Linked DNA regions of Stegostoma tigrinum. The protein of the gene in region 2 purifies or fractionates together with the protein of the main gene of each other region. This does not show direct contact. Links are inferred from orthologs where the notes say so. Each region holds a gene or a part of one and is shown on either strand. Other genes may lie near its edges. The genes, in order: ddx20, strap and tgfbr1b.

The links.
Region 1: the proteins of strap (region 2) and ddx20 purify together in Homo sapiens (affinity purification with mass spectrometry; 3 studies listed by BioGRID and IntAct, counting the BioPlex papers as one, with this or other methods). This does not show direct contact. The link is inferred for Stegostoma tigrinum from reciprocal best matches to the Homo sapiens genes STRAP and DDX20.
Region 3: the proteins of strap (region 2) and tgfbr1b purify together in Homo sapiens (affinity purification with western blotting; 3 studies listed by BioGRID and IntAct, with this or other methods). This does not show direct contact. The link is inferred for Stegostoma tigrinum from reciprocal best matches to the Homo sapiens genes STRAP and TGFBR1.

Annotation. Positions count from the first base shown.
Region 1 is NC_081374.1:5,648,747-5,659,008, reverse strand, and holds the start of ddx20 (probable ATP-dependent RNA helicase DDX20), read right to left. Parts: upstream 4,544-10,262; 5' UTR 4,466-4,543; coding exon 4,264-4,465; intron 1,425-4,263; coding exon 1,330-1,424; intron 1-1,329.
Region 2 is NC_081378.1:42,719,127-42,729,750, forward strand, and holds the start of strap (serine-threonine kinase receptor-associated protein), read left to right. Parts: upstream 1-6,445; 5' UTR 6,446-6,560; intron 6,561-6,659; exon of another isoform or gene 6,660-6,789; intron 6,790-10,624. UniProt on the Homo sapiens protein: The SMN complex catalyzes the assembly of small nuclear ribonucleoproteins (snRNPs), the building blocks of the spliceosome, and thereby plays an important role in the splicing of cellular pre-mRNAs.
Region 3 is NC_081358.1:11,704,941-11,716,169, reverse strand, and holds the start of tgfbr1b (TGF-beta receptor type-1b), read left to right. Parts: upstream 1-6,762; 5' UTR 6,763-6,858; coding exon 6,859-6,937; intron 6,938-11,229. UniProt on the Homo sapiens protein: Transmembrane serine/threonine kinase forming with the TGF-beta type II serine/threonine kinase receptor, TGFBR2, the non-promiscuous receptor for the TGF-beta cytokines TGFB1, TGFB2 and TGFB3.

The DNA.
Region 1 (10,262 bases), on a different chromosome or scaffold from region 2:
AAGAATACTTTTCTAAAAATTAACTGCTTTCTTCTGGCCATTCTGGCCAATAGTTATTCATCAACTAGTCATCAAGCTATTATAGAGTCACAGAACTGTACAGTCATACAGCACAGAAAGAGACCCTTCAGCCCAACTCATCCCTGTCAACCAGTTTCCTAAACTGAACTAGTCCCATTTGCCTGCATTTGGCCTAGATCGCTCTAAACCTTTTCTATCTATGTATCTGTCCAAATGTCTTTTAAGTGTTGTAATTGTATCCACTTTACCACATCCTTTAGCTGCTCGCTCCATACACGCAGCACCCTGTGTGGAGAGAGTTGCCGCTCAGGTCCCTTTTAAACTTTTCCCCTCTCACCTTAGATCTATGCCTCTAGTTTTGGGCTCCCCTATCCTGGGCAATAGACTTTGGCTATTCACCTTATCTATTCCCCTCATGATTTTATAAACTTCTATTAAGGTCACCCCTCGGTCTCTTCCTCTCCAGGGAAAAAAGTCCCAACTATCCAGCCTCCCCTTATAATTCAAACCCTCCAATCTCAATAATATTCTTGTCAATCTTTTTTTACATCCTTTCCAGTTTAATAACATCTTTCCTATAGCAGGGCAACCAGAACTGTATACAATACTGCAAATACAGCCTAGCAAGTGTCTTGTACAGCCGTAACATGATGTCCCAACTCCTAAACTCAATGCTCTGGCAGATGAAGGCAAGCATGCCAAATGCTTTCTTTGTGAGATTATGTGGGGCACAAACTGGCTAGAGTTGCCAGTGTTTTTAGTAGTAGCTACAGTTCAAAAGTGCACCATTGATTGTAAAACATTTGAGAGTGTGTTTCAACCACGAAACGTGCTATGTAAATACAAGATCTCAACTCCTACTTCCACAGAAATACTTATAATGTGAGCAAACATTGCCCTAGGTAATCTGTGTCCAAACATGCAATCCCGCTTCCCATGCATTCAAGCTTTTAAAACTGGGAGATGCGGAGAAATATCTGTTGCCCAGTTTTCAACACTCTGAAAGCTCGAGCAGAAACTGTCAGAGATTGCTTGGAACACTACTGCACTGGGCTCAGTGTTTTTCCCGATTACACACAACTGGGCAAGTTTCTATGGCGAGAGTGTACAAAAAGAAGTTAACTATAGTTCACCGCGGTTGTTTGCTGGTAACTGCTTGCCGAAAAAGAGGCATGCTGTCAAAGCTTTTTGTCTCGCTCCCATCAGGACAGGCAGAAGAATTCCAAATTCCAAAGGGAACAACAATTTACACAGCACAAGAAAAGGGCAATATGCAAAGTTCGGAACAACCTCTGCATAAATGCTAACCTGTGTTGCTGGATTCTCTAGGATAACGGAGTCCAATGCAATTGTAGCAAATACACATGTTTTCCCTGTACCGGATTTAGCTTGCACAATCAGATCTGAAAGAGACACATAGCTTTGTAAAGAAAAATCACATGCTGAATTTTCAAGCTTAAGATGTGACCCATTGCAGCACTTAATGATGTCATGAAGCACGTCCAGACTTCTGGTGCCTAAGTATCGTAATCAAACTGATTAGCTGCACATAGTACAATATCCTTGATTATTTTAAATTGCTCCCACTACCACCACCGGCGACGACAGCCCAGTAATCACCAGCACTTCATTGTTAATTACCCCATTTAAAACAACACAGATTCGGAAAGACAGAAAATGAATTTATTTTGTAGCATTTCTTTTGGGGAGCAACTGACGAGAACAGAAACGTTTTATTGAAATCCAGCAGTGACCAGGGGGGATAAAACCAATCACATCAAGTTACACTATATCGCTGTCTTATGTTGAGAAAAGATTCTTGTGTCAATATTTCATTTATCAAACTCACATCAGAATATTTTATGGTGTTCAAACTTAGGGGCGCAGATAACTCTGACAAAAATTGCCTCAGTTACACAGCAGCTATTGGTTACCACAGAGTCATAAAGATGTACAGCATGGACACAGACCCTTTGGTCCAACTCGTCCGTACCTACCAGATTAATCTAGCCCCATTTCCCAGCATTTGGCCCATATTCCTCTAAACCCTGCCTTTTAAATGGTTCGAAGGTAGGAGACAGAGGGTGGTGGAGGACAGTTGCTTTTCAGACCGGAGGTCTGTGATCAGCTGTATGCCACAAGGATCAGTGCTGGGTCCACTGTTTTCCATCATTTATATACATGATTTGGATGTGAACATAGGAGGTATGGTTAGTAAGTTTACAGATCACACCAAAATTGGAGGTGTGATGGACGGCAAAGGAGGTTACCTCAGAGTGCAACAGGATCTGGATCTGATGAGCCGAGGAGTGGCAGATGGAGTTTAATTTAGATAAGCGAGAGGTGCTGTATATTCAAAAGGATATTCAATCAGGCAGGATTTACGCACGTCATGGTAAGGTCTTCGGAAATATGACTGTACAAAGAGACCTTGGAGTGTAGGTTCACAGTCCCTTGAAAGTGGAGTCGTAGGTGGATAGGGTAGTGAAGAAAGTAGAGAAGAACTTTGGTACGCTTGCCTTATTGGTCAATGCATTGAGTATAGGAGTTGGGAGGTCATGTTGCAGTTGTACAGAACATTGGTGAGGCCACTTTTGGAAAACAGAATTCAATTCTGGTCGCCCTACTATAGGAAAGATGTGGAGAAGCTTGAAAGGGTTCAGACAAGTTTTACAAGAATGTTGCCAGGGTTGTAGGTTTGAGCTGTAGAGAGGCTGGAGCTATTTCCCTGGAGTGTCAGAGGCTGGGGGAGGGGGGTGACCTTATCGAGGTTTATAAAATCATGAGGGGCATGAATAGGTGATTAGTCAAGGTCTTTTCCCCAGGGGAGGCGAGTCCAAGACTAGAGGGCATAGGTTTAAGGTGAGAAGGGATAGATTTAACTTTGCCCCTTACGTCTCTTTTTTCTCACAGAGAGGATGGTGTGTGTATGGAATAAAATGCCAGAGGAAGTGGTAGAGGTTGGCACAATTACAACATTTAAAAGGCATCTGAATTGGTACATGAGTACAAAGGGTTTAGAGGGATATAGGCCAAATGCTGGCAAATGGGACTAGATTAATTTAGTATATCTGGTCGGCATGGACAAGTTAGGCCAAAGGGTGTCTTTCCATGCACTAGAGTTGTGTGGCTCTAAGTTTTGTAATTGTACCAGCCTCCAAAATTTCCTCTAGCAGCTCATTCCACACACGCAGTACCCTCTGCATCTTCAGAAAACCTCCCAAAGCCAGCAACTTCTCAACAAGGCAAATGGTACAGGGGAAGCTCTCCTCCAATCCCACATTCCTATCACATTGCAGATTTCGATCAGTGTTCAAACAGCTCATGCCCCTAAATTCACTGAAGGAACACCTTTTACTCAAAGACTCAACAAGTGGAAAAAGCGCACCTCTTCCCATCCCCAATTTCCTCAAACCACTTACATTCTGAAACACAATTTCACAATCTAAACTCCATACTCACCTTTATAACCCTCGCTGCCACATCCCCCTCCTGTATGCCAACCCATCATACCCCCTTACTGGTTATAATCACTCCTCTCTCCCCCCCCCCCATCAACCCTCTCTCCTCCTCTCACTCATCCCCACCACACATCCCCTCATTCTACCATCCCAACTCCCTCATTCTCTACCAACACCTCATTCACCAACCCCCTCCCTCTCTCCTCCCATGCCTCACTGATTCCATTTGTGCTCCCCATCCTCAATCTTCCCCCTACTCTGCTCCCAACCCTCCCGATCCCTCAATCTCCCTCTCCTTCTCCCCAACTCCCACACCTCACCCTACACTCCCTATTTTCTCACTCTCCCCCTCCTCCCATCACTGTGACCCTTACCTACATGCCAACTCATACACCCACCTTCCCTCCCTCCCTCTACCCATTCCCCCCCACACACCCCCCCTTGCTCCCCTCCCTCTACCCACTGCACCTCCCACACACCACCTCCCACCCCCAAACCATCCCTCAAACCCAAACCAACCCCTACTCCCCCCACACCACCCCCATACCTCACAACCCATCTCCCATCTCCCACCCCCCTCACCCCCAAACCCCCACCCCACACCCTCTCCCTCAAACCCACTCTCTCACCCCCAAGGCACCTCCACGCCCCTCCCTCACCCCCAAGGCACCTCCACGCCCCTCCCTCACCCCCCCAAGCCCCCTCCCCGCCCCTCCCTCACCCCCCCAAGCCCCCTCCCCGCCCCTCCCTCACTCCCAAACCCCGCCCCCGGCTCCCTCACCGAGCCCACACCGCCCTAGCGGGATGGCCTTCAGTTGGATGGGGGAAGGCCTCTCGAACCCGGCCTCCCTCAGCCCCTCCAGAACGGGCTGCGTCAGGAGCAAAGCGGCGAAATCCACTTGCTCGCCCGGAGCCAGCAGCACATCCCCAGTACGAGGCCGCCGGTCAATGCTATGGGCCGTACGACGGCCAGTGAGCGCCATCCTTCCCACCCCGTCAGCGTCAGGCAGGGCCCCGGCTTGGGCCTGGAACTGGGAGTGAGAGCCCCGCCCCTGCCGGCCACGGGCCACGCCCCCTAGATACGTGCCCCGCCCTGGAGACGGCCCGTTGGAGACAGGTCACGCCTCTGGCGATAGGTCCCGCCCCTTGGAGACCGGTCCCGCCCCTTGGAGACTGGTCCCTGCCCCTGGAGATAGGTCCCGCCCTTGGTGACAGGTCCCGCCCCTAAAATGCCTATAGGTGTGAGGCTGGAAAAGCACAGTGTCAGGCAGCATCAGAGCAGCAGGAAAGTCATTGAATGTTTCAGGTTGAAACCCTTTGCCAGGACTGGGGATGGGGGGTGTGGGCTGTCAGGATGGTGATAGGTGGATACAGGTAGGGTGCAGTTGTGGTTGGTCCATGGGAAGGGTGGAGTGGATAGGTAAGTAGGAAGATGGACACGTTAGGTCAGGTGGGGAGGGAGAGGGATGGACATAGGATGAGGCTGGGGGTGGAGTGTCCCGATCCCACAGAGATTCACCTGCACTACGTCCAACCTGATCTGTTGCACCTGTTGCTCCCAATGTAGTCTCCTCTATATCGGGGAGAACAAACACAGAGTTTGCGAAGCATCTGCGCTCTGCACGCACTAACCAACCCGACCTTTTGGTTACCATCCTATTTAATTCCCCCTCTCACTCCTCTGGCAACATGTCCATCCTTGGCCTCCTCCACTGAAGGGTGACGCCAAATGTAAGTTGGAGGAACACCACCTGATATTTTGCTTTGGGGGCTCACAGCCTAATGGCCTCAACATTGACTTCACCAGCTTCAAAATCCCTCCACCCCAGCCTTATCCCATGTCCATCCCTCTCCCTGCCCAACCCCTGTCGTGACCTAATCTGTCCATCTTGAAGGGTCTAGGCCCGAAACGTCAGGTTTTGTGCTCCTAGGATGCTGCTTGGCCTGTTGTGTTCATCCACCCCCACACTTTGTTGTCCTACTCACCTATCTGCTCCACACTTCCCACAGACCACTCACAATAACCCCCTACGTGAATCCTTCTTTCACCAACCCATCTACCCTCCCCATAGCCCCAACTCCCTCCCTCTATTTCTGGACTCCCCTACCACTCCCCAGCCCTGACAAAGAGTTTTGACCCAAAACGTTGACTTTCTTACTGCTCAGATGCTGTCTGACTTTCTGTGCTTTCCAGCCTCACACCTATAGGGTCTGGCTTCCAACATTTGCAGTCCTTATTATCTCCTAGAAACAGTCCCTGTCCCCTGGAAACAGGCCTGCCTACAGGTACTGGTCCAACTTCCCAGGGACAAGTTTCTGAAGAAGGGTCCCGACCTGAAACATCAGCTTTCCTGCTCCTCTGATGCTGCCTGGCCTACCGTGTTCCTCCAGCTCCACATTGTGTTTCCTCTGCCCCCATGTAGGCTAGCTTCATCCCTGCAAATAGACTCTGCCAACTAGATACAGATCCTACCTCCGAACAGGACACACCCCAAGGTGTTTTTTTCGCCCTTGGTGCTAACCAAACCGCCTGGATTGAGCCCCTTTGCTAAACCCTCCCACAGAAGACATTTGATAAAGTGCCATTTGATAGGCTACCTCATGAGATATAGCCCACAGTGTTGGTGGTCATATAAACAGAGGATTGGTTAACAAATAGATAATAGAGAGTTGGGATTTTCAGGATTGCAACCTGTAAATAGCAGAGTGCCACAGGGATCAGTTCTCAGGCCATAATTAATTACAATAGACATAACATTGACTTAGATGAGGAACCTAATAGGATTAGAGTTTGCCGTTGACACAAAAGCAGGTGAGAGGGCAAGGGGTGAGGATGACGCAGGGAGCCTGCAGAAAGATAGAGACAGATTCAACAAGTGAACAAAACCTGGCAGATGCAATATAATACAAGAGGTGACACACTTTGGCATGAAGGTTAGAGGAACTGAATACTATCTAAATGGAGGAAAGATGGCAGAAAGCTACATCCGTAAAGGTCTGGGTGTTCTTGTACGTAAGTCACAAAAAAACTAGCATCCAAGTTCAGCAGGTAACAGGGAAGGTAAGTGGAATGTTTGCCTTTATTTCAAAATGGAAAGGAGTACAAAAATAAGGAAGCCTTGCTAAAACAATAAAAGGCACCAGCCAGATCACAGCTGGAACACTGTGAACAAATTTAGTCCCCTTATTGAAGCAAAGATATATTGACATTGGAGGGAGTGCACCAGGTTGATGGAGGGATTTTGTTATGAAGAGATTTTCATAAAATCACAGAATTGCAATGGCACAGAAAGAAACCATTCCGTTTACTACGCCTGCAATATCATCAACGCCTAGAGCCATTGCTTTATCCCCACAACCTTACACATTATTTTTATCCAAATAGCCATCTAATGTCCTCTTCAATACTTTAATTGAACTGGCCTCTATCACATTTCCCTGAAGTGCATCCCCAACCTGAATCACTTGCCGTGTGAAAACATTTTTCCTCACATTTCCCTAGCTCCTTTTGTAGGGTGGCACCATGGCTCAGTGGTTTGTGCTGCTGCTTCACAGCACCAGGGACTCGGGTTTAATCCCACCTTTGGGTGACTATTTGTGTGACACATTCTCCCCGTGCCTGTGTGGGTTTCCTGCGGGTGCTCCGGTCTCCTCCCACAGTGCATAGATGTGCAAGTTGTGTGGATTAGCCATCAGAAATGCAGAGTTACAGGGACAGGGTAGCGGGTGGGTTTGGGTTGGATGGGCAGCATGGACACAATGAGCTGAATGGCCTGCTTCCACGTTGTAGGGATTCTATGAAAGTCAGATCAGTCGCTGAGAAATTGGCATGAAAAACATGGTGGCATGTTCCATTGAGCTAAATTTGTTGGAAGGATTGTAATTGCCCCTCTGTTGGCCTCGCTGCAGCCTACTGAGTATTACATACAAAACTCACACTATGATGGCTCTTCCTGCTGGCTAGGATCCTGTCAGCACTCAGACAATCTCTTGCCCCAGTATCCAACCGGTTAGTTTTGTTTAAACAAGTGGCCAGTGCCCAATGTTTGAGCCTGCACTGCCAGAAGATATATTCTGCTGCTATATCTTACAATCATGCAACACCAGGTTATAGTCCAACAGGTTTATTTTGTTCACAAGCTTTCAGAGCCTCAGTCCACCTTTGGGTGTTAATGAGGGAGGGAGTATCAGGCACAGAATTTATAAATAAAAGATCAAAGGGTCACACCACTGATGAGGATGTACTAACACACAACACACACATTCACACACACTCACACACACACACACACACACACGCACATACACACACACACACACACACACACACATACACACACACACGCTCACACACACAGACACACACACATACACAGACAGACACACACACACACATACACACACATATACACACACACGCACACGCACACACATACACACACACACACACGCACACGCGCACACATACACACACACACACACACACACACACACAGACACACGCACGCACACATACACATACACACACACACACGCACACGCACACGCGCACACATACACATACACACACACGCACACCCATGCGCGTGCGTGCACACACACACATACACACACGCGCGCACGCACACACACACACGCATACGTGAATCTATGGGATGAATTTATATTTGCAGATACATTTTATTTTTGTTCAAAAAGCATACAATTTATAGTTAGACAGTCAATGTGGTGTTTTATAAATTCCTACTTTAGAAATAAAACCAGTCTGACTCCAACTAAAACACAAACAGATTCTAAACAAGTTCTCACACCTAACATGCATTGTCTGAAAATCTAAATCATTGTCTAAAATGTCACAACTTCTTTACACTGATAAAGCCTTTTTATCTCTTTGGACTGTGACTTGAAAGGAATTCAGGCATTTACATATATATATTATTCAATTAAAGACTTCTAACTGATTAAAGATTTAACAGCATGCTAGTTTTGTTTAGTACATCCTCATCAGTGGTGTGAACTTTTGATCTTTTGCTTATAAATTCTGATACTACCTCTCTCACTAGCACCTGAAGGAGGACTGAGAGTCTTAGAAGAACGAGATTCTTAGAGAGGTTGGCAGCAAAGATGCTGAGAGCTTAATCTCCTTGGGGGAAAGTCTAGGACCAGAGGGGAACATTTCAGAGTCAAGGCCACCTCAAGAAGAAGAACAATTTCTTCTCTCAGACAGTAGTAAGTCTGTAGAATTCTTGACTGCTGAGGGGTGTCGAGGCTGGGTTATTAAGTATGTTCAAGACTAATGTATTTAATCAGGAGGGGTATCAAGGGTTATGGTGAAAGTGCGGGTAAGTGGAATTGAGGATTATCAGATCAACAATGATCTCATGAAAGTAGTCTCGTTGGGCTGAATGACCTATTTCTGCTGTTATAACTTACAACCTTTTAGACTTATGTGGGCAATTGTCCATATTGTTGAGTAGATGCCAGTGTGTAATAGTACTGGAGGTACGTTACAACAGATACATCCAGTTCTGGAATGCAAGTATATTTTTTCTGGAATGTTGTGAGGGTCTATTGCCTTTGCAGTATCCAGTCCCCTCACCTGTTTCATAATATCACAAGGAGTGAATTGAATTGACTGAAGATTGACATCTGACATTTTTGCATCTCTAGAGGAGGCCAAGATGGATTATCTACTTGGCACCTCTGGCTGAAAATGTATGCAGATGCTTCAGGCTCATCATTTGTATTGATGCGCTGTTCTTCCCAGCATTAAGGATCAGAATATTTGTGATACCTCATTCTCGATTGAGTTCTTTATTTAATTGTCCACCACAATGACTGGATAGGTAGGATTGCGGCGTTTAGATCTAATCTATTGGTTGAGGGGCTGTTTGGAATTAGCACTTGTGGCTTCCTTTGTTTGTTGTGTAGGGTGGCACAGTGGTTAACACTGCTGCCTCACAGCGCCAGGGACTTGGGTTCGATTCTAGCATTGGGTGACTGTCTGTGTGGAGTCTGCACATTCTCCCAGCATCCAGCTCCACACTTTGTTATCTCGGATTCTCCAGCATCTGCAGTTTCCTCCAGGTGCTCTGGTTTCCTCCCACAGTCCAAAGATGTGCAGTTTAGGGTGGATTGGCCGTGCTAAATTGCCCCATAGCGTCCACGGATGTGTAGGCTGGGTAAATTGACCATACTAAATGCAGGGTTACAGAGGTAGGTCTGGGTGGGATGCTCTCTAGAGGGTTGGTGCAGACTCAATGGACTGAATGGCCTCTATCTGCTCTGTAGGGATTCTATAATGTACCTAGTTCTGCGTGGTAGCTCACCAGGTTGACACATCAGTTTTAGATACGGATAGTGCTCTTTCTGACAGGTCATCATTGAACAATAACCACCTTGTGAAAGTACATTATTGGCTACAATGTGCCCTGGGATGTCAAAAGGTGCTATAGAAGTGTGAGTTCTAGATTTCTAAATAAGCTTTTTCTTGTAGAAGCAGAGTTTTCAAACAATATAATTTTGCTCAGTATTACACTTTACGAATCATTAGAATGCCAGGGCAGTTCATCTTTGCCATCACTCTCACACTCTTGAGCTTAACATGAGTTAGAGGATGGGCTTTAGGTCAATGAGAGGTGTTGAGTACAGTAATGGGGGAGCCTCTGAGATGTCACAATATTCATCAGCCCATGAACAGGGTGATTTATTGTACTATTTTCTGGCTCAAATAACTTCATCTCTGAACAAAGAATACATCAAAAAACTGGAAACATGGGT
Region 2 (10,624 bases):
ACATTCTTCCAAGGCATCGCATACTCTAATCTCGTTACAGCCTTGCTGCAAACATGGATGATAAAGCTGAAGTCCACAACTGAATTGAAAGGACTGGACTTGACATCAAGGGAGCATTTGACCAGGTTGAGAATCAAGGATTCCTAGCAAAATGGAAAGTCAGAGCACTCAGTGGAAAATTTTTAAAATTGGAATTGTACCTAGCTCCGTATGTCAAAGTCAGTTACACCTTGGTGATCCGGCTCTCGCCATTGCTGGTGGTCCAGTGCACTGTCTTACCAGCTACTGAGGTTCCGACCAACCTTCTTCAAGTAGATTTTCATGGCATCTTTGAAACAGTTCTGCAGGCCACCATGACCTTTATCCACTCATGAAGCAGGAATGCAGACCACACTTCAGAATGCGAGGATTGGGCATTCTGATTCATTTGATACATGAGAATGGTTGTCTTTATGTCCAAGACTCTTGCTTTTCGGAGGATGCTCATGTTCATGTGACAGTCCACCCAGGCGATGTGCCGAATCTTCAACAATTTACAAACACGCAAATCAGGATTTTGGTGGGATATTCTATACATGTGCCTGAGAAATAAGAAAAACAATCAAGAAACACAACATCACCCAAGATGAAGCTGCTGCGTGATTGACAACCCGTCCAACACCCTCAACATTCACTCCTTTCATCACTGGTGCACGGTTGTTTATCATTTATAAGATGCACTGCAGAACCTCATCAAGACTTCTTTAACAAACCTTCCAAAGCAATGATCTAACACTGTGGGCAGTGAAGGTCATTGGGTCACAATCCAGGAACTCCATCCTTAACAGCTTTGTGGATAGCACATGGACTGTGTAGATTCAAGAAGGCAGCTCACCATCGCCACTTTGTGTAATTATGAGCAACAAATGTTGGCCTTTCTAATAAAAAAACGAAAAAACTGCGGATGCTGTACATCAGGAACAAAAACAAAGTTGCTGGAAAAGCTCAGCAGGTCTGGCAGCATCTGTGAAGAAAAAAAGAGTTAATGTTTCGGGTCCATTGACCCTTCCTCAGAACATTCTGAGGAAGGTTCACTGGACCCGAAATGTTAACTATGTTTTTGGCCTTTCTCATGATGCTTTATGAATTTTTTTTAAAATGGCTACAAGAAAATGACTTACCGTTCTGAACATTAATCACAAACTGCAGGACAATTCCTGGTTGTTGGTGAACTTTCACAGTTAAATGAGTAAGTTAAATAAAAGTTTTGTATTTGATCACAGGTTAGCACCCCAAAAACTGCTATTCTAGGAGTTGTCACAAAAGTTAAAGATGCTACAGAAGTACACAAAATTCTCTGATTTACCTGACTTTCAGACCCAGTTTGATAAAAAACATGGATGAGGTTTCTCTATTGAACATGAATCACTATTTACCAAAAGTAATTTGACTCTAGCTACAAGCAAAAATGTTATATCAACATTTAATACTCTAATTAAAACTTTAATCCCCTTATAAACTCCACATTACACACATACACACAACAGATAAACAGACAGTGTAACATAATATATAGAGAGCAGCAAGACTGAAAATGTATCAGTGATAATGGGAACTGCAGATGCTGGAGAATCCAAGATAACAAAGTGTGGAGCTGGATGAATACAGCAGGCCAAGCAGCATCTCAGGAGCGCAAAAGCTGACGTTTCGGGCCTAGACCCTTCATCAGAGGTCTGCTGTGTTCATCCAGCTTCACACTTTGTTATCTAAGACTGAAAATGTAGTTGTCTCCAAATACCTTGCAGACTCTTGAGACTCAACATTGTGTTCAATAGAGATAATAATGTGTAGAGCTGGGTGAATACAGCAGGCCAAGCAGCATCAGAGGACCAAGAAAGCTGATGTTTCGGGTCTGGACCTTCTTCAGAAATGTGGAAAGGGTAGGGGATTCTGAAATAAACAGGGAGCGGGGGGGAGGTGGATGGAAGATGTATAAAGGAAAAGATAGGTGGAGAGGAAATGTATCGATCAAAGAAGTGAGGAAGGAGCCAGTAAAGGTGAGTGTAGGTGGGGAATTAGGGTTGGATTTGGTCAGTCCAGGGAAGTTGGACAGGTCAAGGAGGCAGGGATGACGCTGGTAATTAGGAGGTGAGGGTAGGGATTGAGGTGGGAGGAGCGGATAGGTAGGAGAAAGGACAGGCAGGTTAGGGAGGTGGGGACAGGTTTGGCTAGATTTGGGATGCAGTAGGGGGAGGGGTGATTTTGAAACTTGTGAAGTCCACAATGCCATTGGGCTACAGGGTTCCCAAGCGGAGTTTGGGGTGCTGTTCGTGCAACCTTCGGTTGGGAATGTTGTGGCACTGCAGGAGGGCCAGGATGGACATGTTGTCCAAGGAATGGGAGGGGGAGTTGAAATGCTTCACAACTGGGAGGTGCAATCATTTGTCACGAACCAAGAGTAGGTGTTCTGCAAAGCAATCTCCAAGCCTCCATTTAGTTTCCCCGATGTAGAGGAGACCTCATCAGGAACAGTGGATACAATATACCTTGTTAGCAGATGTGCAGGTGAACATCTGTTTGATGTGGAAGGTCTTCTTGGGGCCTGGGATGGGGGTGAGGAGGGAGGTGTAGGGGGAGATGTAGCAATTCCGGCGGTTGCAGGGAAAAGTGCCAGATGTGGTGTAGCTAGTGGGGAGTGTGGAGTGGACAAGGCAGTCAAGGGAGTTCAATAACTTTGGAGCCTGACTCCATCTTTCCACATTTTTTACACCCACCTCCACATCCTGGTTCTGTCATGACATGCGCAGCCAACACATTCTCACCCACTCTTAGTCCTATTATCACATGAAATGATTTGCTTTCAGCACAGCCTACCCATTATTACCTACTCTCTGCTCTCATTACCACTTAATCATCTTCCCTGGTGTCCTGGCCTATTATCAATAACCCCCTCTCCTACCTAGCCCTTTCAAATCTCTCTCTCTTTGGATTCCATCTTCAGCTATCCACTCGCCTCTCCCCCACCACCTCCCAACAATACCTCCTCATCTACTCTGTTGTCTTCAGTGTAAATACCACTTTTACCTGATTTTACCTGATACCTGGCTGCTATCAGTTCTGGTTTACTTCAGGTTTATATGGAGTTTTGACTTCAGAGAACAAGAACACTGCTCCTGGGCTGTGGAAGAACGGAAAACTTCTCTCCATCTGTAACTTAGTCCTAGCTCCAAGCAGTTCAGTTATCTGTAAAGCAATCATAATGCTGTTGGCAGGCAAAAATGTCTCTGTCATTGACAACTGGTCCATAGACCAATTAACTTCTTGTTGCCAGCAAGAGCTGCATTATTACATTCCCTCTGTACCTTTAAGCATCGGAGTTTGGAGGTCATGTGGAGGTTGTTCAGGACATTGGTGAGACCTCTTTAGGAGTACTGTGTGCAGTTCTGGTCCCCCTGTTATAGGAAGGATGTGTTATTAAACTGGACAGGTCTCAGAAAAGATTTACCAGGATGTCGCCAGGAATGGAGGGTTTGAATTATATGGGGAACCTGGACAGGCTGAGATTTTTTCATTGGAACTTGAGAGATTCAGGGGTGATCTCATTTAGAGGCTTATAAAATCGTGACGGGTATAGATAACGTGAAAGGCAGGTGTCTTTTCCCTAGGGTGGGGGCTTCAATATTAGCGAGCATGTTTTTAAAGTGAGAGGAGAATGGTTTAAAACAGACTTGAGGAGCAGAGTGGTTTGTGTGTACAGCGAGCTTCCAAAGGAAGTGATGGATGCAGGTGCAGTTACAATGTTTAAAAGACTTTAGATAAGTTCATGAATAAGAAATGTTTGGAGAGATATGGGCCAAACACAGGCAGATGGGACTAGGATAGTTTGGGTTTACAGTCAGCATGTACTTGTTGGACTGAATGGTCTGTTTCCATGCTGTATGGCTCCATGACGACAGGTTTGCAATTATTGCTTGTTTAGACAGATGTGTGAATGATGCCAAATGTGAGCATCAGGTTACATGCTTTTCAGAACTGTTCCAAACAATAGTTTTTAAAGCAGCTCTTTTTCCATGTCCACGTCTTTTTATCTGGAATGCATTAATGACTTTAGGATATGTGAAAACATTTCATCACCAAATATTTATTTTTAAAGATTGATCATTGTTCCTTTGTGGGAATTATAGCAGTCAATTTGCTCCAATCGAGGTTCCAGAATCAGCATTGTCACAATGACATCATGATGTTTTTGTAATGATGTTTGAAAAATTGGGCCAGAAGTTCAGGGAGAATGTTATAGCTTGATTTAATTGCCCATAGTTACATTACAACCATAAGAGTGGGCAGACTTCACCTCTGATCTGAAAGACAGCGTCTCCTTAAGCATTATACCGGAGTATCAGCGTGGAATCCACCCAGTGCAGGGAGGGGTGGACATGTCAGAGGTCCTTCTGGAGGGTCTGATTCTGGGCCTGGCCAAAGTGGCCATCAGCAGGTTCAGGCAGTGTTCCCAACTGTTGGCCCCTCTTTCACACTTACATCTGTGCTCGGCTGTCCCTGGGGATGGAGCCTGCAGTGCTCACAGGAACATTTGAGTCCTTTGGAGACCTATGGGCAACACATAGGCTAGGGTGCGTCATCAGACTGGACAACGTTAATTTAGTTTGGTAAGATTCTATATTATATATTAATCTGTTATATAAGATTCTGTTCAACTGTTAAATTTGTGTTTTATTTCAACAATGTTTCATTTTTAATTTTGATGTCCTGTTTTGAAAAGTGTGGAGAGAGCTTTGCTCAGTGCTATCCCTGTCCTGGGAGTGTTTGATGGGGGCATTGCTGTCAGTTTAAAAAAGTCCAGTGAACTTTATTTTTGCTTACTTCTAGTCTAGAAAAGTAGAGGTAGGCTTATTCAGTAGCAAACCCCATGTCCTGCGGGTGCTTGGTGGGAACAATGTTGAGTGAGTTTTACTTTTAATTTAAAAGAGTAGAATCTGTGCTCAAGTCTTTGGAGTGGAGCTTGAACTCAGTATATTTTGACCTAGACTGTAAATGGTTGACACCCAGTTGCAGCATGTCCTCATATATGTGACAGTGTTCCACAGTTAATGAAGCACCTTTCAAAACATAGGTATGGTTAGTAAGTTTTCAGATGACACCAAAATTGGAGGTGAAGTAAACAGCAAAGAAGGTTACCTCAGAGTACAATGGGATCTTGATCAGATGGTCCAATGGGTGAGGAATTGCAGATGAAGTTTAATTTAGATAAATGTGAGGTGCTGCATTTTGGAAAGGCAATCAGGGCAGGACTTACACACTTGAGAGTAATGTCCTGGGGAGTGTTGCTGAATAGAGACCTTGGAATGCAGGTTCATAGTTTCTTGAAAGTGGAGTCACAGGTAGACAGGATAGTGAAGAAGGCGTTTGGTATACTTGCCTTTATTGGTTCGTGCATTGAGTATAGGAGTTGGGAGGTCATGTTGCGGCTGCACAGGACATTGGTTAGAACACTTCTGGAATGCTGTGTACAATTCTGGTCTCCCTGCTGTAGGAAGGATTTTGTGAAACTTGAAAGGGTTCAGAAAAGATTTACAAGGATGTTACCAGGGTTGGAGGGTTTGAGCTATAGGGAGAGGCTGAATAGACTGAGGCTATTTTCCCTGGAGCATCAGAGGCTGAGGGGCGAACTTATAGAGGTTTATAAAGTCATGAGGGGCATGTACAGGGTGGATAGACAAGGCCTTGACCCCTGAGGGGAAGGGCAAGGGATTGGAGGAGTCCAAAACTAGAGGGCATAGATTTGAGGTGAGCAGGGGAAGATTCAAAAGGGACCTACAGGGCAACCTTTTCACACAGAGGGCGGTGTGTGTATGGAATGAGCTGTCAGAGAAAGTGATGGAGGCTGGTACAATTACAATATTAGAAAGGCATCTGGATGGTTGGCTATAAAATAGGGTGGGATTAGAGGGATATGGGGCAAATATTAGCAAACGAAACTAGATTTATTTCGGATATGTGGTTGGCATGGACAAGTTGGACTGACGGGTCTGTTTCCGTGATGTGCAGCTCAATGACTGTAATTACAGTCACAGGTGGGAGTGCAGGAGTATATTGACATAAAGAGAACACCTTTTCTCACTTTTGAACAATGGCATAGAATTTTTTTATAGGCACTTAAGACCCCAAAATGGTTTGGCCAGTCATCTTAAAGACAGCGAAAAATGATAATTCTATCAAAAAAAAGTTTCTTTTTTGCCTGGCAAACGTAAACAAGATAATGTTTGAGGGTATTTAGTAGAATATTGTACGGAGTTCTACTTGGTTGGTACAGATATGGATGGGCTGAATGGCCTGATCCTTTACTCGAAAGGCGAATGATAGTTTGCACATTGGGAATTGGACGAAATTTATGAATGGAGCCCAGTCAATGAAACTGCGCATGTGCGACCGCTGCGTTTCCCACGAGCCGCCACGCGTGGCGTTTGGCGTCACTTCCGCTACAGCTAACGGGGAGTCTGGAGGTTCGGGAGAGGGAACCAGCCCAGACCGGACTGGGAACACGCGACACCGGGATTAACGGACCGGTAAGGGGGCCGGGAAGGGGATAGCAGACCGACAGCAGCACGGCGGACACCCAGTAGTAAAACACAGTTTGGGGTGAGGTGGAAGCACCACTGGGAATGGCCCACCTGGAGTGACGCACCGGGAAAAGTGTGATCAACACCTGGGAATACAGTAAGATACACAGGGGACCAGGAACACACGCTGAGACGCTCCATTGGTGGGACCTGGAACAATACCGAGAATATACCAGTAAGATATACCAGGAAGACACTGATAAGACACACCAGGGGGTACTAGGAAACCATACCAGTAAAATATGGCGCCAGAAATAACTTGGGGCAGGGTTGGTTGGGGAAGAGGACCGGGAACACTACTTGGAATAACACACTGCCAACACTCACCGTTGTTAATTGTGACAGTAAGGTACACCAGGGGAACTAGAAACGCACCCTAGGAAAATACTGGTAAGGCACACCATTGTGAAAACACATCAGTAAGACTTACAAGTGAGACAGCAGGAATGCACATTACTGAGATGCACTGGAGAAAAAAAATTGGTGAGCCACTCTAGGAGGGAGACTGGATGTATACCAGGCACGTGCACCAGGAAAATACTGGTAAGATATGGAAGGGTAAGGCACGCCAGGTAAATTCTGGGAGATAAGTAAGAACCACAATAAAGGAGTAAAAATACCAGGGGAATAAGAAAGAAGCACCAATTAAAAGGGGACCTGGTAAAAGTGTGAAAATACCAAGTAAGAAACACAGGTTGAAAACACTGAGTAAATGGTTTAAAATTCCAGAGGGGAGAAAACCAACTTAAAATGATGAAACGTCAGGGACTGGATATGAAACAACTGGTTTATAACATTTGAGGACTGGGTTAAAAACGATCAAATAAAAGTATTGGGTAATAAACACCAGGTAAAAATGTAAAAACCATCAGGGGATGGTGAGAATTTCCAGGTGAAAGTACTCTATTTGCTTTCTTCCTATGTCCTTTGATCACTTTAGGCCTAAGAACTATCTAAGTCCTTAAAATGTTCAATGTTTTGGCCTCAACCACTTTGTGGCAAAAAAATTCTACAGGTTTGCCACTGTCTAGCTGGAGAAATTACTCCTTATTTTAGAATCTGTTGTTAAGAAAGTAATGAGAGGAATTTTAAGTCAAAATAAATCATGTTTGACTAATTGCTAGAATTATTTGAAGATGTAACAAGTAGTGTGGATAAGGGGAGGGGGAAGGGGGTTCTGAAATAAGTAGGGAGAGAAAGGGAGGTGGTTAGAAGATGGATGGTGGAGAGGATTTGCTTTGGGAGAGACCCCCACTGAGGTTTTTCCGGAGGGAGAAAGGTAACTTCTTCGGAGTAGGCATCCTAAGAAGAGGCTTCGCAGTGCGATTAAAATTGTTTGAGATAGTAGGAACTGCAGATGCTGGAGAATCTGAGAAATACAAGGTGTGGAGCTGGATGCGGGTCTAGGCCTGAAACATCAGCTTTCCTGCTCCTATGATGCTGCTTGGCCTGCTGTGTTCATCCAGCTCTACTCCTTGTTCTCGTAGTACTATGTCTAGACTTCCAGAAGACATTTGATAAGGTGTTGCGTAAAAGCATAATAATATGCAAGCTGAGTTCACATGGGTTAAGGGTAATTTATTTGTTTGTATAGAGGATTGGTTAACAGCAGTAAGCAGAGTTGAACCTCTGTCTCTATCTCAGGCAACCAGCTTGAAACTGATGTCCATTTCAAGCCCACCGAATCCCACAGCTACTTAGAATACACCTCCTCCTACCCACCCTCCTGCAAAAGTTCCATCCCCTATTCCCAATTCCTCCGTCTCCGCCGCATCTGCTCCCCTGATGAGGCATTCCACTCGCGCACATCCCAGATGTCCAAGTTCTTCAAGGACCGCAACTTTCCCCCCCACAGTGGTCTACAACACCCTTGACTGCATCTCCCACATTTCCCGCAACACATCCCTCACACCCCGCCCACGCCACAACCGCCCAAAAAGGATCCCCCTCGTTCTCACATACCACCCCCCCAACCTCTGGATACAACGCATCATCCTCCGACACTTCTGCCATCTACAATCCGACCCCACCACCCAAGACATTTTTCCATCCCCACCCTTGTCTGCTTTCCAGAGAGACCACTGTCTCCGTGACTCCCTTGTTCGCTCCACACTGCCCTCCAACCCCACCACACCTGGCTCCTTCCCCTGCAATGCAGGAAGTGCTACACTTGCTCCCCCACCCCCACGCCCCAAGATGACTTTCCATATTAAGCAGAGGTTCACCTGCACATCTGCCAATGTGGTATACTGCATTCATTGTACCTGGTTTGGCATCCTCTACATTGGGGAAACCAAGCGGAGGCTTGGGGACCGCTTTGCAAAACACCTCCGCTCGGTTCGCAATAAACAACTGCACCTCCCAGTCGCAAACGATTTCCACTCCCCCTCCCATTCTTTAGATGATATGTCCATCATGGTCCTCCTGCAGTGCCACAATGATGCCACCCGAAGGTTGCAGGAACAGCAACTCATATTCCGCTTGGGAACCCTGCAGCCCAATGGTATCAATGTGGACTTCACCAGCTTCAAAATCTCCCCTCCCCCACTGCATCCCAAAACCAGCCCAGTTTGCCCCCTCGCCCCCTCGCCCCCTGCACCACACAACCAGCCCAGCTCTTCCCCTCCACCCACTGCATCCCAAAACCAGTCCAACCTGTCTCTGCTTCCCTAACCTGTTCTTCCTCTCACCCATCCCTTCCTCCCACCCCAAGCCGCACCTCCATCTCCTACCTACTACCCTCATCCCACCTCTTTGACCTGTCCGTCTTCCCTGGACTGACCTATCCCCTCCCTACCTCCCCACCTATACTCTCCTCTCCACCTATCTTCTTTTCTGTCCATCTTTGGTCCACCTCCCCCTCTCTCCCTATTTATTCCAGAACCCTCACCCCCATCCCCCTCTCTGATGAAGGGTCTAGGCCCAAAACGTCAGCTTTTGTGCTCCTGAGATGCTGCTTGGCCTGCTGTGTTCATCCAGCCTCACATTATATTATCTTGGAATAAATGGGTCATCTTCTGATTGGCAAGATGTAACCAATGGGGTGCCAGAGATCTTTAGGCCCAACTATTTACAAGCTATATTAAAGACAGGGATGTGGGGATAGAAAGTACTATGGCTAAACTTTGCAGATGGCAGTAAAGCAGGTAAGATAGTAAGCTACAATGAAGAAATAAAAAATTTACAAATGGATATGGTTATTTGAGGTGAATGGGCCAAAATTTGGCAGATGTAATTTCATGTGGATAAATACAAGGCTATCCTTTTTGGTCAGAGGAATAGAAAGACAACCTATCAATGCAAAGGGATCTGGGCATCTTTGTTTGTGAATTGCAGAAAACTGGTATGTAAGTACAGCAGGTTAAAAAGGAGACAAATAGAATTTTGGCACTTATTGCTGAAAGAATAAAGCATAAATGTCAGGGAGTGTTTCTGCAATTGTATGACATCTTAGTGAGATGGCAATACTTTTAAGTGCATACAATTTTTGTCTCCTTACTTGAGGCTGGGGGTGATAAAGTTTGGAGGAGGTTGGCTAGATTGTTTCCAGAGATGAGGGTTTGTCTTATGATGAGGCAGATGACCTAGTGATGTTAGCGCTGGACTGTTAATGCAGAGACCCAAATAAAGTTCTGGGGACACTGGTTTGAATCCCGCCATGGCGATGATGGAATTTGAAGTCAGCAAAATATCCTGAATTAAGAATCTAATGATGACCATGAATCCATTGGTGGAAAAACCCATCCGGTTCACTAATGTCCTTTAAGGAAGGAAACTGCCATTCTTACCTGGTCTGGCCTACATGTGACTCCAGACCCACAGCCAAGTTGTTGTCTCTGAACTGGCCTCTGGGCAATTATGGATGGGCAATAAATGCAACCTGGTCAGTGACGCCCTCATTCCCTGAATGAATGAAAGAAGAGAGATTGAACAATTTAGTCCTGTATTCCCTGGAGTTTAGAAGAATAACAGGAGATCAAATTGACGTATGCAAGGTGCTGAATGAGATT
Region 3 (11,229 bases), on a different chromosome or scaffold from region 2:
TGTACTACCCTGTCTGGAGTAAAGGTTTTGTCACTCACTGTGACACACACCTCAGGTATTGATATTGTTCATGATTTAGAGGATAGCATAGAGGCGGGACCCACCTACGATGAGTCTCTGGGTCGAAGTGTCCCACAGCCGATGGCAAAGTCGTTTGTGATTTCTGCAGAGAGCCTGAATGAAGACTACGGAAGAAGGCAGATGGATCGGCATGAAGGTGGACTGACAGGTCCTGCTAGTGGCCACTGTTGAGGAGGAATAGAGGGGATGAGCACCATCTTAGTGCAGGGGTTTGGGCATTTTGTGTAGCCTGTCCCCTTTCCAATGTGGAAGTGGTTGTCAATTTCATTAATTTGCTTGTACACTGGCCATGATGAGGCATCTGGCAGAAAATGTCAATGCTTTCATTGCTGCACAAATAGAAGCCAATCAACATGGGTGCAGCTACGGAAGCTCAGACTGAAGTCACGCACTGTACCTTGCTGCCACATGGGCCTCAAAGTGCTGTCCTAATAGATGAAAAAACTACTGTTCAAAGGGACAGCAGATCGGCAATACATCCTTCAACAAATTACTAGATTTCTAATGCCTCCTCCATGCAGCACACTCTGCTGTTCCCTCTCAGCAATTATTCTACTGCCATTTCCACTTGAAGCTAGGAACTATGTATTCAGGGACATGTGACATTTCAATAGGCCAGGCAAGAAGGAAAGGGCGCTAGGATAGCTTTGTTGCTTCAGGATAGAACAAGTACAATAACAAGAAATAACCTCAGGTCAGAAAATGTAGAATCCACATGAAGTCAAAGAAAAAATGGTAAGGAAGACATTGGTAGCTGTTGTCTAAAGGCCCCCTGGGAGTAGCTATACATTGGGATGGGAAATAAATCAGAAAATAATAAAGGCACGTGGAAAAGGCAGTACATTAATCATGGGGGACTTTAATCTTCATGTAAATTGGAATAGTCAAATGGCAGACACAAAACCACGAGGAACAGACATTCAGGACTGTTTCCTAGAGCAATATGTTGTAGATCCTGCCAGGGATCAGGCTGTTCTGTATCCAGTGATGTGTATTGAGCCAGGTTTAATAACTTATGTCAGATCAAAAGATCCACTATAAAACAGCCATTGTAACATGGTGGAACTTAGCATTCATTTTGAGAACTTAGGAACTTAGTTGTGGTTGGTTGGCTGACCGAGTTGGCTTGTTGTTCTGCAGACGTTTCGTTACCATGATGGGTAACATCATCAGTGTAGCTCCCAATGAAGCGCTGGTGTGTTTTTCTGCCTGTGTTTAAACTCTGGAGTCCGTTGAGCTGGATTACCCCACTTCCAGTTTCCCTACACAATGGATTGTATATGGGGTCTAGCTGTATGTGTTTATTGATGGCTTTCTAAGTGGAGAAGCAGGCTTCTAAGAATTCCCATGTTTCTCTCTGTTTTGTCTGTCCCAGGATCCTGGTGTTGTCCTAGTCAACTTGGTGATTTTCCTTATCCATGCGGATGGCGATGAGTGAGTATTGGTCACGTCTTTTTGTTGCCAGTTGATGTTTGTGCACCTTTGTGGTTAATTTCCTTCCTGTTTGTCCGATGTAATGTTTGTCATAGTCTCTGCAGGGGATCTTGTCTATGACATTGGTCCTGTCCATCGTGGGAAGTGGGTCTTTGGTTCGGGTGAGCAGTTGGTGTAGGGTTGATGTGGGTTTGCCACTCTGATGCCCAGTGGTTGTAGGAGTCTTGTGGTTCGTTCCAATGTGTTCCTGATGTAAGGTAGCTTGGTGAGTGTGTCGGGGTGTGAGGTATGTTCCTGATGTCGTTCGTGTAATAGGCATCTTCTGGCCCAGTTTTTCAGGTATCCATTGTATCTGATTACCTGGAAGCGGTATTCTTCTTCTTCTTGGTGTAGTTCTGTGCTGCTGAAATGTGTTGTTGCCCGTCCAAATAATGCTGTCACGCAACTTCATTTGTGTGTGTTAAGGCGGTTGCTGCACCACATGGATAAGGAAAACCACCAATTCGGCTGGGACAACACCAGGATCCTGAGACAGCCGAAGCAGAGGCAAGCACGGGATTCCCTAGAAGCCTGGTTCTCTATTAAGAAAGCCATCAATAAACACATAGAGCTAGACCCCATATACATTCTCTGTGAAGGGAAACCGGAAGTGAGGTCATCCAATTCAATGGACTCCAGAGTTTAAAAACCAGGCAGGAAAACACAATGGTACTTCATCGGAGGCTGCACTGAGCGTGTTACCCAGCATGGTAACGAAACATCTGCAGAACAACAAACCAGCTCGGTGAGCCAACCAACTACAGCATCCACAAACCGAGCTATAAATCTACTCCAAAACATTAGGAAATTAGGTTAGAACAACTGAGCTAAGCCTAAGTGAGGGTACTAATAAAGGAATGAGGGCAAGGTTGACTGTAGTGGACTGAGAAACTGGTTTAGCCAAGATGGTTGAGGAATAGTGACAGATGTCTCAGAAAATAGCTCATGGCTCACAGCAAAGATATATTTTAGTGAGGAAGAAGGATTCTAAGAAGGGACATAGACAATCATGGTTAACCATGGAGGGTGAAAGAGAAGGAAATATAATGCGACAAAGTAAGCCAGAAGTTTGCTAAAACTTTTAAAATCACTAAGACCCTGTTACCCATGTTTCAGGGATCTTGAATAGCTCTGGCACCTGGGAGTAACAAGGGACATATGAATGATGAGAATTCCACGGAAACTGAGCACAACATGTGGAAGATATGTTTCAGATGATTGCATACCCCTTCCCTTTTCTGTTGAGAAACTGTGCAGGCTGGTCCCAGAGAAAACTGATCACCACATGCATGCAGTCAGCAATCCCCAGAATCTGTGGGAAGCCCACAATTGTCCCAAAACCAATGGATTATATGGTCTGGCTCTCTGGCCTTTTTAAAAACTGCATTTATCAACTCTTTGATGCAGTGATGAGCTGCTGCCTGTGAGATGCCACATCTGTCCCCTGTGGAGCCTGGAATGTGCTAATGTTGGAGAGGTTTAATGCTGCAGCAACTTTTAAAGCCACAGGCGTTGCGCTTTTTCCCAGTTCAGGGACCTCAGTCTTAATGGTATGTTAATTATATTGATAAAACATGCAGTTTAATTGATTACTTAGTGCACTTATAGGGTTTAATTTAGTATAATTGATTGCACTTAAAAATATAAAAATAAACTGCCCGAGCCAAACACTGGGCACACTGTGGTGTGATCTCCGTCTGAAAGCTAAAGATGATCGGGTCATGAGTTCAAAGTGAGAGGAGGAAAGTTTAAGGGTGATATGCGTGGAAAGTTCTTTACACAGAGGGTGGTGGGTGCCTGGAATGTGTTGCCACCGGAGGTGGTAGACGCAGACACAATAGTGTCTTTTAAGATGTATCTGGACAGGTACATGGATGGGTGGGGAGCAAAGGGATACAGACACTTAGAAAATAGATGACAGGTTTAGACAGAGGATCTTGATCGGTGCAGGCTTAGAGGGCCGAAGGGCCTGTTCCTGTGCTGTAGGTTTCTTTGTTCTTTGATTCTGCTGGGAGTTCTTCCCTTTATCATCCACGATGTAGTTTGAAGATATTGTATGCAGCAGTCCTATACAATTCAAGATTGAGGGAGGTCACAGATTGAGTATGGTTTCTGTGACCTTGAAGAGTCCTGTTCCCTGTTTACACGGGGTCTGCGAGGATGTGTACAGTCCTTTCTTCATTCCCTCAGGCTGCGCATCAACTGAGCTTGCGTTCAGCCCACATTGCTGCACTTTTGTCACTCAGCTGACTGAGGAAGTTGGAGGACTTCCTCTGGGTCTGGTCCTGGGAATGGCCAATGTGACAATGAAGAGGGTGAGGCAGTGAGCTGTGAAAGGGGTTGTTAGGTCTGAATGTCTACCTCTTGTCTGTAGTTGTGTCTGCACTCAAGTGTCTCTGAAAAAGGAGCATGTGGTGTCCACTGCACAGTTGTATCCTCAACTGGTGATCAGGCTTGTACCTGGTAACTTATCTGGGTCAGATTCATCCTCACCCCATTGAAGTTGGTTCTCCTCCAAGTAATTATTTTGATTAAGATTTTGCTTAGATATTATTTAGTTCTCAGTGGAGAAACAAAAAAAACCTGTTGAGTAAAAACCACCTAGCTTATTGCTCTGTGATAATGGGAACTGCAGATGCTGGAGAATCCAAGATAACAAAGTGTGAAGCTGGATGAACACAGCAGGCCAAGCAGCATCTCAGGAGCACAAAAGCTGATGTTTCGAGCCTAGACCCTTCATCAGAGAGGGGGATGGGGAGAGGGTTCTGAAATAAATAGGGAGAGAGGCGGGAGGTGGACCGAAGATGGAGAGAAAAGAAGATAGGTGGAGAGGAGAGTATAGGTGGGGAGGTAGGGAGGGGATAGGTCAGTCCAGGGAAGATGGACAGGTCAAGGAGGTGGGATGAGGTTAGTAGGTAGGAAATGGAGGTGCGGCTTGAGGTGGGAGGAAGGCATCGGTGAGAGAAAAGAAAGAAAGAAAGAAAGAAACGTACAGCACAGGAACAGGCCCTTCGGCCCTCCAAGCCTGTGCCGATCAAGATCCTCTGTCTAAGCCTATCATCTACTTTCTAAGGGTCTGTGTCCATTTGCTCCCTGCCCATCCATGTACCTGTCCAAATATATCTTAAAAGACGCTAACGTGTCTGCGTCTACCACCTCCGCTGGCAACGCATTCAGGCACCCACCACCCTCTGTGTAAAGAACTTTCCACGCATATGGAAGAACAGGTTAGGGAGGCGGAGACAGGCTGGGCTGGTTTTGGGATTCAGTCGGGGGAGGGAATGAGCTGGGCTGGTTTTGAGGAGGTGTATTCTAGGTAGCTGTGGGAGTCGGTGGGCTTGAAATGGACATCAGTTACAAGCTGGTTACCTGAGATGGAGACTGAGAAGTCCAGGAAGGTGAGGGATGTGCTGGAGATGGTCCAGGTGAACTTGAGGTTGGGGTGGAAGGTGTTGGTGAAGCAGATGAACTGTATTGGCGCCGCCTCTTGCTCCCAGAGGAGCTCGAACAGTTCAATTGCAGAACACCTCCGCTCGGTTCGCAATAAGCAACTGCACCTCCCAGTCGCGAACCATTTTAGCTCCCACTCCCATTCTTTAGGTGACATGTCCATCATGGGCCTCCTGCAGTGCCACAATGATGTCACCCAAAGGTTGCAGGAACAGCAACTCATATTCCGCTTGGGAACCCTGCAGCCCAATGGTATCAATGTGAACTTCACCAGCTTCAAAATCTCCCCTCCCCCCCACTGCATCCCAAAACCAGCCCAGCCTGTCTCTGCCTCCCTAACCTGTTCTTTCTCTCACCTACCCCTACTCCCACCTCAAGCCGCACCTCCATTTCCTACCTACTAACCTCAGCCCCCCTCCTTGATCTGTTTGTCTTCCCTGGACTGACCTATCCCCTCCCTACCTCCCCACCAATACTCTCCTCTCCACCTATCTTCTTTTCTCTCCATCTTTGGTCCGCCTCCCCCTCTCTCCCTATTTATTCCAGTTCCCTCTCCCCATCCCCCTCTCTGGTGAAGGGTCTAGGCCCGAAACGTCAGCTTTTGTGCTCCTGAGATGCTGCTTCGCCTGCTGTGTTCATCCAGCTTCACACTTTATTATCTTGGATTCTCCAGCATCTGCAGTTCCCATTATCAGTGAACAGTATGTATTTGATTGTATTAGTATTGAAACGTCTTCCAGTTTCTCTTCAAAACGACTGTCCCATTTCACACTGGCTGCTCGACAAGTGTATTTCAGAAACAGGAGAGAGATCAGCCTTTCCTCAACAGTTTTTTTAAAAGGTAGTACTCTATCATTTGTTGCACATTGCTGTAATTTAGTTGCAAATTTGTTCCTCTACATACCTCCATCCAGTTGATGGTTTGGTGAGAGGAAACTAAATTATACATTTTGTTTTCTTCCTTCGTTCCAGTCAGGTAGATTTGGTCCTTGGCCCCTCTGGGACATGTATCTCCAACAATACAAATTTTACCTTGATAGTACTACCCTCCCACTTTCCTTTCTCAACACCCTGTTCTCAGGATGCTCTGATTTCAGCACCCGCTGTGTTTGGTTTTGGTTCGAATCCTGAGAACTGGGAAGAAGTTGGAAAACATTTGTAATGAGGTTTAGAGCAAGTTGTGAGGGAAGGAAGGGACAAAAGGAATATTGGCACAAGGCAAAAGGAGTTGAGGATGGGAGGATAGAGAAACCAGGGCTGGATATATTCCATTGGCTCCTTCAGAATGACATTGCAGACAAAAGGAGGTGGGGACCGGGGGTTGGCCAATTGAAAAACGCCTATCACAGAGGCCAGGGCAATTGTGACCGATCTACCTATCACAGGCTACTTCTCATTCTGTTCCTAAATGCACTGACGGCGACCAATGAATGAGGTTCGGAGCCGAATCGATAACCTAACAGCAAGTTTCATCGCAGGATGCGCGGCAGTAACCAATCAAAAGGAACCCTTCGGGTCTTTCCGGCAGTCATCCAATGAAAAGGCGCACTCCCGCGGCTCCTCCAATAGGAGAGCATCCAGACGGACAGCCTGTCGGCAGGCGGGCGCGAGGGAGCACGTTGCGATTGGGAGAGACTCGGCCAATGACGATCCACGTCGCACGGGGGCAGGCCAGGAGCCACTCACCCGGCCCGTCTTATGATGGCGTGCAGTATGTGGGGGGAGGTGTCGCTGAGGCAGCCAATGGGAGGGCCTGTGTCATACGGCCGTCGCAGTAGTGGTAGCGGCGGCGGGGCTTACTCTGTCTGGAAAGTCGCGGCTGTGTTAGGGGGCGGACGGAGCGGCTTTGCAGCCATGGCGAGAGCCGGAGCCTCTCATCGCGCGGTGCTCGGTTGCCTGCTTTTGCTTTTGATCGGTGCCTCCGGAGCGCTGGGTGAGTGATGGTCGGGGCGTGGGGGGGGGAGAAGCAGGTTGCTCGTTCGGCTGCTTTCCGAAGGGGTGTGCGGGGGGTGGTATTGTTCACCAGAGGCCCGGGGATGGGGAGGGGGTGGAAAACCTGGGGACTAGGAGCGGCCTAGTGAAGGGACAGTGATGGGGCTCTCTCTTCCCAACTACCACAGCCGGGGGGGGGGGGGGGGAGATGCCGACCAGGGCCTTATCGTGCTGTCCCTGAGAGGAGCAGCGGCCGACCCTAGCCTGGCCTGGCCCGGCCCGGGTGGCGGGAGGAGGAGGAAGGGCCAGTGGGGTCTCACGCCCGGATGTGGTTGCCATGGTGGATGCCAGGGCTCGCAGAGCTGACCACTCGCTCCAAGAAAGACAGCCCGGAAACCCAAACACCTTCCCCGGGGCAAAGAGGGACCCCCCTCCCTCCCCACCACCAAACACCCTCTTCCCCCCAACTCCACACAGCTCCTGGAGTTTGGGAGCGGCTGGGAGAAGCTGGTTCAGACGAAGTGCAATCTTTTACAATCCTCACTCAATTGCCATCTGATTTTTCTTTTAAAAGATGTGCAGCAGGGAAGATACGTTGCTTACGTTTGCTTTGGACTTTTTTTTAAGACAAAGTCCTTTCCAGTAGTTGCACATGTTCCTGTAGTTTAGGGTAAACAACTTGACAAGAACTCTGCAGGATGTAAGTCGTATGTCGACATCTTCGGAAATGTGAAGCCAGTCTTGCGAAATCATACGTTTGATTGAAAATATCTTTTAAGACAAAATGACAATGTGATGGATCAATTTTAAAAATAAATTATCTTCTCGAACGTTTGGGAGACTAGTTTTCACTAACTGGATCCACTTCTGAAGTGTTGCTCACTGCATCGCTATGTTTTTTCCCTGGTGCCGCAAAATAATTGAACGACTTGCAGTGATGTTTAACGTGGCGAAGTCCTGTGGTGCTTTGTGAATGGGTATAATGCCTAAGAAAATTGTGAAGTAGTTTTGGAATGTTTAAATCTGATAAATCGCAGTGTATGTATTGACAAAAATCTTGTTTATGCATTAGCCTATTAAATCAAGTTCCAATAGCTTCGTATTTGGGAGCCACCTGCCAATGTTTACAATTGTTAGATCTAGTTTTCTGTGCTGGAGGGAGTATCTGAAACTCCAAGGTATAAGCAGGATTAACAAGTGTGTTGTCAGTCTGCAGAAGTCAAAACCAGTAGTGTGGATGCTAAATCCTTTAGATCTGAATTTTCTAAAACCAATATAAAAGCTTTTGAAGGCAATTAACCATCATTAACAGTTATTTGACTGGGAGTGTTTGTGTTCCACCCTAGAATTGACATTCTTGCAACTAAAGTTACTGGCATAAAAGCTGCTGATAATGCTTAGGAACATCTTTTTACTGTGCATTACTTTCATGCACACTTGTATTTCTTTAAGAATCCTTCCACCTCACTAATCCCTAGATGTGCAAGGAAGTGACTAAAGGTTAAACCCCCTTCCAGATTCTTTCCATTCCTGTAAAAACTGTGCAACAACCACAATTTGCTTCACTGTTGATTATTGTTTTTCTGCATTAGCTGTGAAATGGAAATGTAGATGTGTTTGAAGTGTCTAGCAAATGCACCACAACATTGACTTGATGGAAATGAATATATGTTTATTGATATTTCAAGACATTTACCTCAGTTTCACTTGTTTCAAGCCAATAATCTGCAGTTGTTTGGATTTCAATGAGTTTGTAGTTTTGTTGTCAAATTACATTTCAGACAGTAGAGCAGTGAAAATAAATCACCATTTTTAAAGCAGTTTCTGTTTTTTTTTTCTTGAAAGTATGCGTTATCCCAACAAGAATGGCAACATTTGCAGCGAAACAGAGTTAATGTGTTGAATCCAATGTGATTGATTTTGAGGAATGGTCACTTTGGACTTGAAACGTTAACTCCACAGATGCTGCCAGACCTGGTGATTTTTCTGCAGCATACTGTGTTTCAGGTTTCCTGCATCCACAAAATTTTTGTTTTTAATTTAGAATCAAAGGTGACTGTTAAAACCACAGTTACATATTGCATTTTGTACGCAGTGTTTAGTGTTCAGTGTTGAGGTTGTGCACTATACTAGGTAGAAGTGTGGATATGATATTGAAGTGGAGATGTTGTGTCTGGCCCTAGGTACGATCTGTTCAAGCTGAGCTTTGTGTAGGAAAAGAGATTGTTAGGAGATATGGGAAATTGTGAACTTTGAAGGAAACTAATTAGAATTGAAGGGGAAACATGTAGTTAGCTTGTAAATTATAAGTGGCAGAGAGATCTGAAATAGAAGAAATTGTATAAACCTCCAACCAGAAGTAGCCCATAGCTTAGGAAATGGACGCAAACAGCTAGTCAGCAGACAGGGTGTGGTGAAATGTCAGACAGGTCCTGTTTTCTAGACTTTCTGCTTGATTAGATAAGTGCTGCTTTCATCATATCCTAATATGGTACTTTTGATTTCAACATCCACACATGTGGATCAATCTGTTTGCACTAACACCTGTGAGATAATTCATTTTGTCCATGCTGTATAATGTAGTGTGTGTCATTTGGGAACAAAATGTCTTAGATGTCAAAATAGCTTTGCTTAAGAACAGCGATGGAACCCTGGTGAAGTGTTTTAACAGGTCACTCAGATCTATTGCTATTAGCTGGCTCCATGCTCTTTGGGTGCAGATAAAGCCCCCCAGCCTGTTGAGAATTGAGAAGGTTGTTGGCTCAATGCTGCTGGGCAGTTGGCTTTGCAAGTCCTGGGGTATTAATGAGCTTAGTGGATTTGATAAGAAGCTGCCTGCTAGTGACCTGGTTATGTAAATAAGCAGCCATAGCCTGCGAGTAAGACTGGCATTTCCCAATTCCCAACATTGGGATTCTGCTGGAAAGTGAGCAATCATCAAGGTAGTTGTAATTGTGTGGTTTTTGAGGTGAATTGGTGGCTAGATCTTAGAAAGAGAAGAACTGAAATCTCTTGAGTGGGTAGAGTTTAAAGGAGTTTTGAGAGTCTTGGTTGTGATTTTAATTTTTAAATATGGAGGGCAGCTGGTGGTTAAATGCTTAGGTGTATGGATTTTTTTGGAGGTTTTTGCACTCTTCTAATGCCTTCATTTAATGTCTGCAAGTTCATGATCCTTTTCTATACCCTTTAGTCTAGATCCTTTTCTGAAGAATGGTCTAGACCTGAAACGTCAGCTTTCCTGCTCCTCTGATGCTGCTTGACCTGCTGTGTTCATCCAGCTGTAAACCTTGTTATCTCAGATTTTCCAGCTACTAACTCTGTAACAATGATATCTCTTGATGCGTTTAGTTTTACTCATTATTTTGCTTGGTCACAAGCTAGGCACTTGCAAGAATAAGTAGTAATGTTGAACCTTTTCAGAGATACTTGGCATCCTTAAAGGGCTTCTGCTGTTCTCCTGGAAATCTCTGACTGCATCTGACTTCTGAGTAACAAAATTGCTTTTGGAACCTGGTGTTAGGCATGTGCGCTGGCTTTGAGTGTGTATGTCTTGTCACTGGGCAAGTTGCTTGGAACAAGTCATTGTTGGAATGTGCCTTGCACCTAGATGTGGAGGATCTTGCAAAGTGATTATTGGTTGTACTTTTGTAGTGCTTTGAGGTGCCTGCTGCAGATTACTTGCTTTGCAGACTTGGGCAAAAGTCTGGGAATCACTACTATCTGCTAAACTCTGACCTTCGTCTTGGGTCTGAGATCCTTGTGCTTAAATGCTCTTTTTTTCCCTTCTGTCAAACAAAGGCAGAGCTGTTTGCATTGTAAATGATGATGAATTTCATTGTGTGTCTGCTTTCTTCGGGATGTGTCTCCCAAGATATGGAAAATGATCTGTATTTTCCAGGATTTCTCTCCTGATATTAACTGACGTGGAGAGGTGTTATGGTGTGGGAACCAGTTGGAAGGGGGCCTTTTTTTGAGTGTTTAGAGAGGCCCATTTTTATCATGGGAGTCAATAGTAGCCTGGAGCTCAGTTTCTGAGTGAGTGCACACATAGGTGTCATCTGCATACTGCTGCGACTGAGATTGGAGCAGTTTTGGTTTGAATTGAGGATGGGATGTGAACAAGTTCCCATTTGTTTTGGAGGTTAGCTCTGCCGGGAATTCGCCGGAGTTGAGGTGCAGTATTGCAGTGAGAAAAGTGGACAGAAGGCTTGGTACAGTTAGAGTCTTTGACATCTGTCCGCACCAAAAAGTCATCTGGGAATGTATGCATACGGGCTTTTTGTGTTATCATGA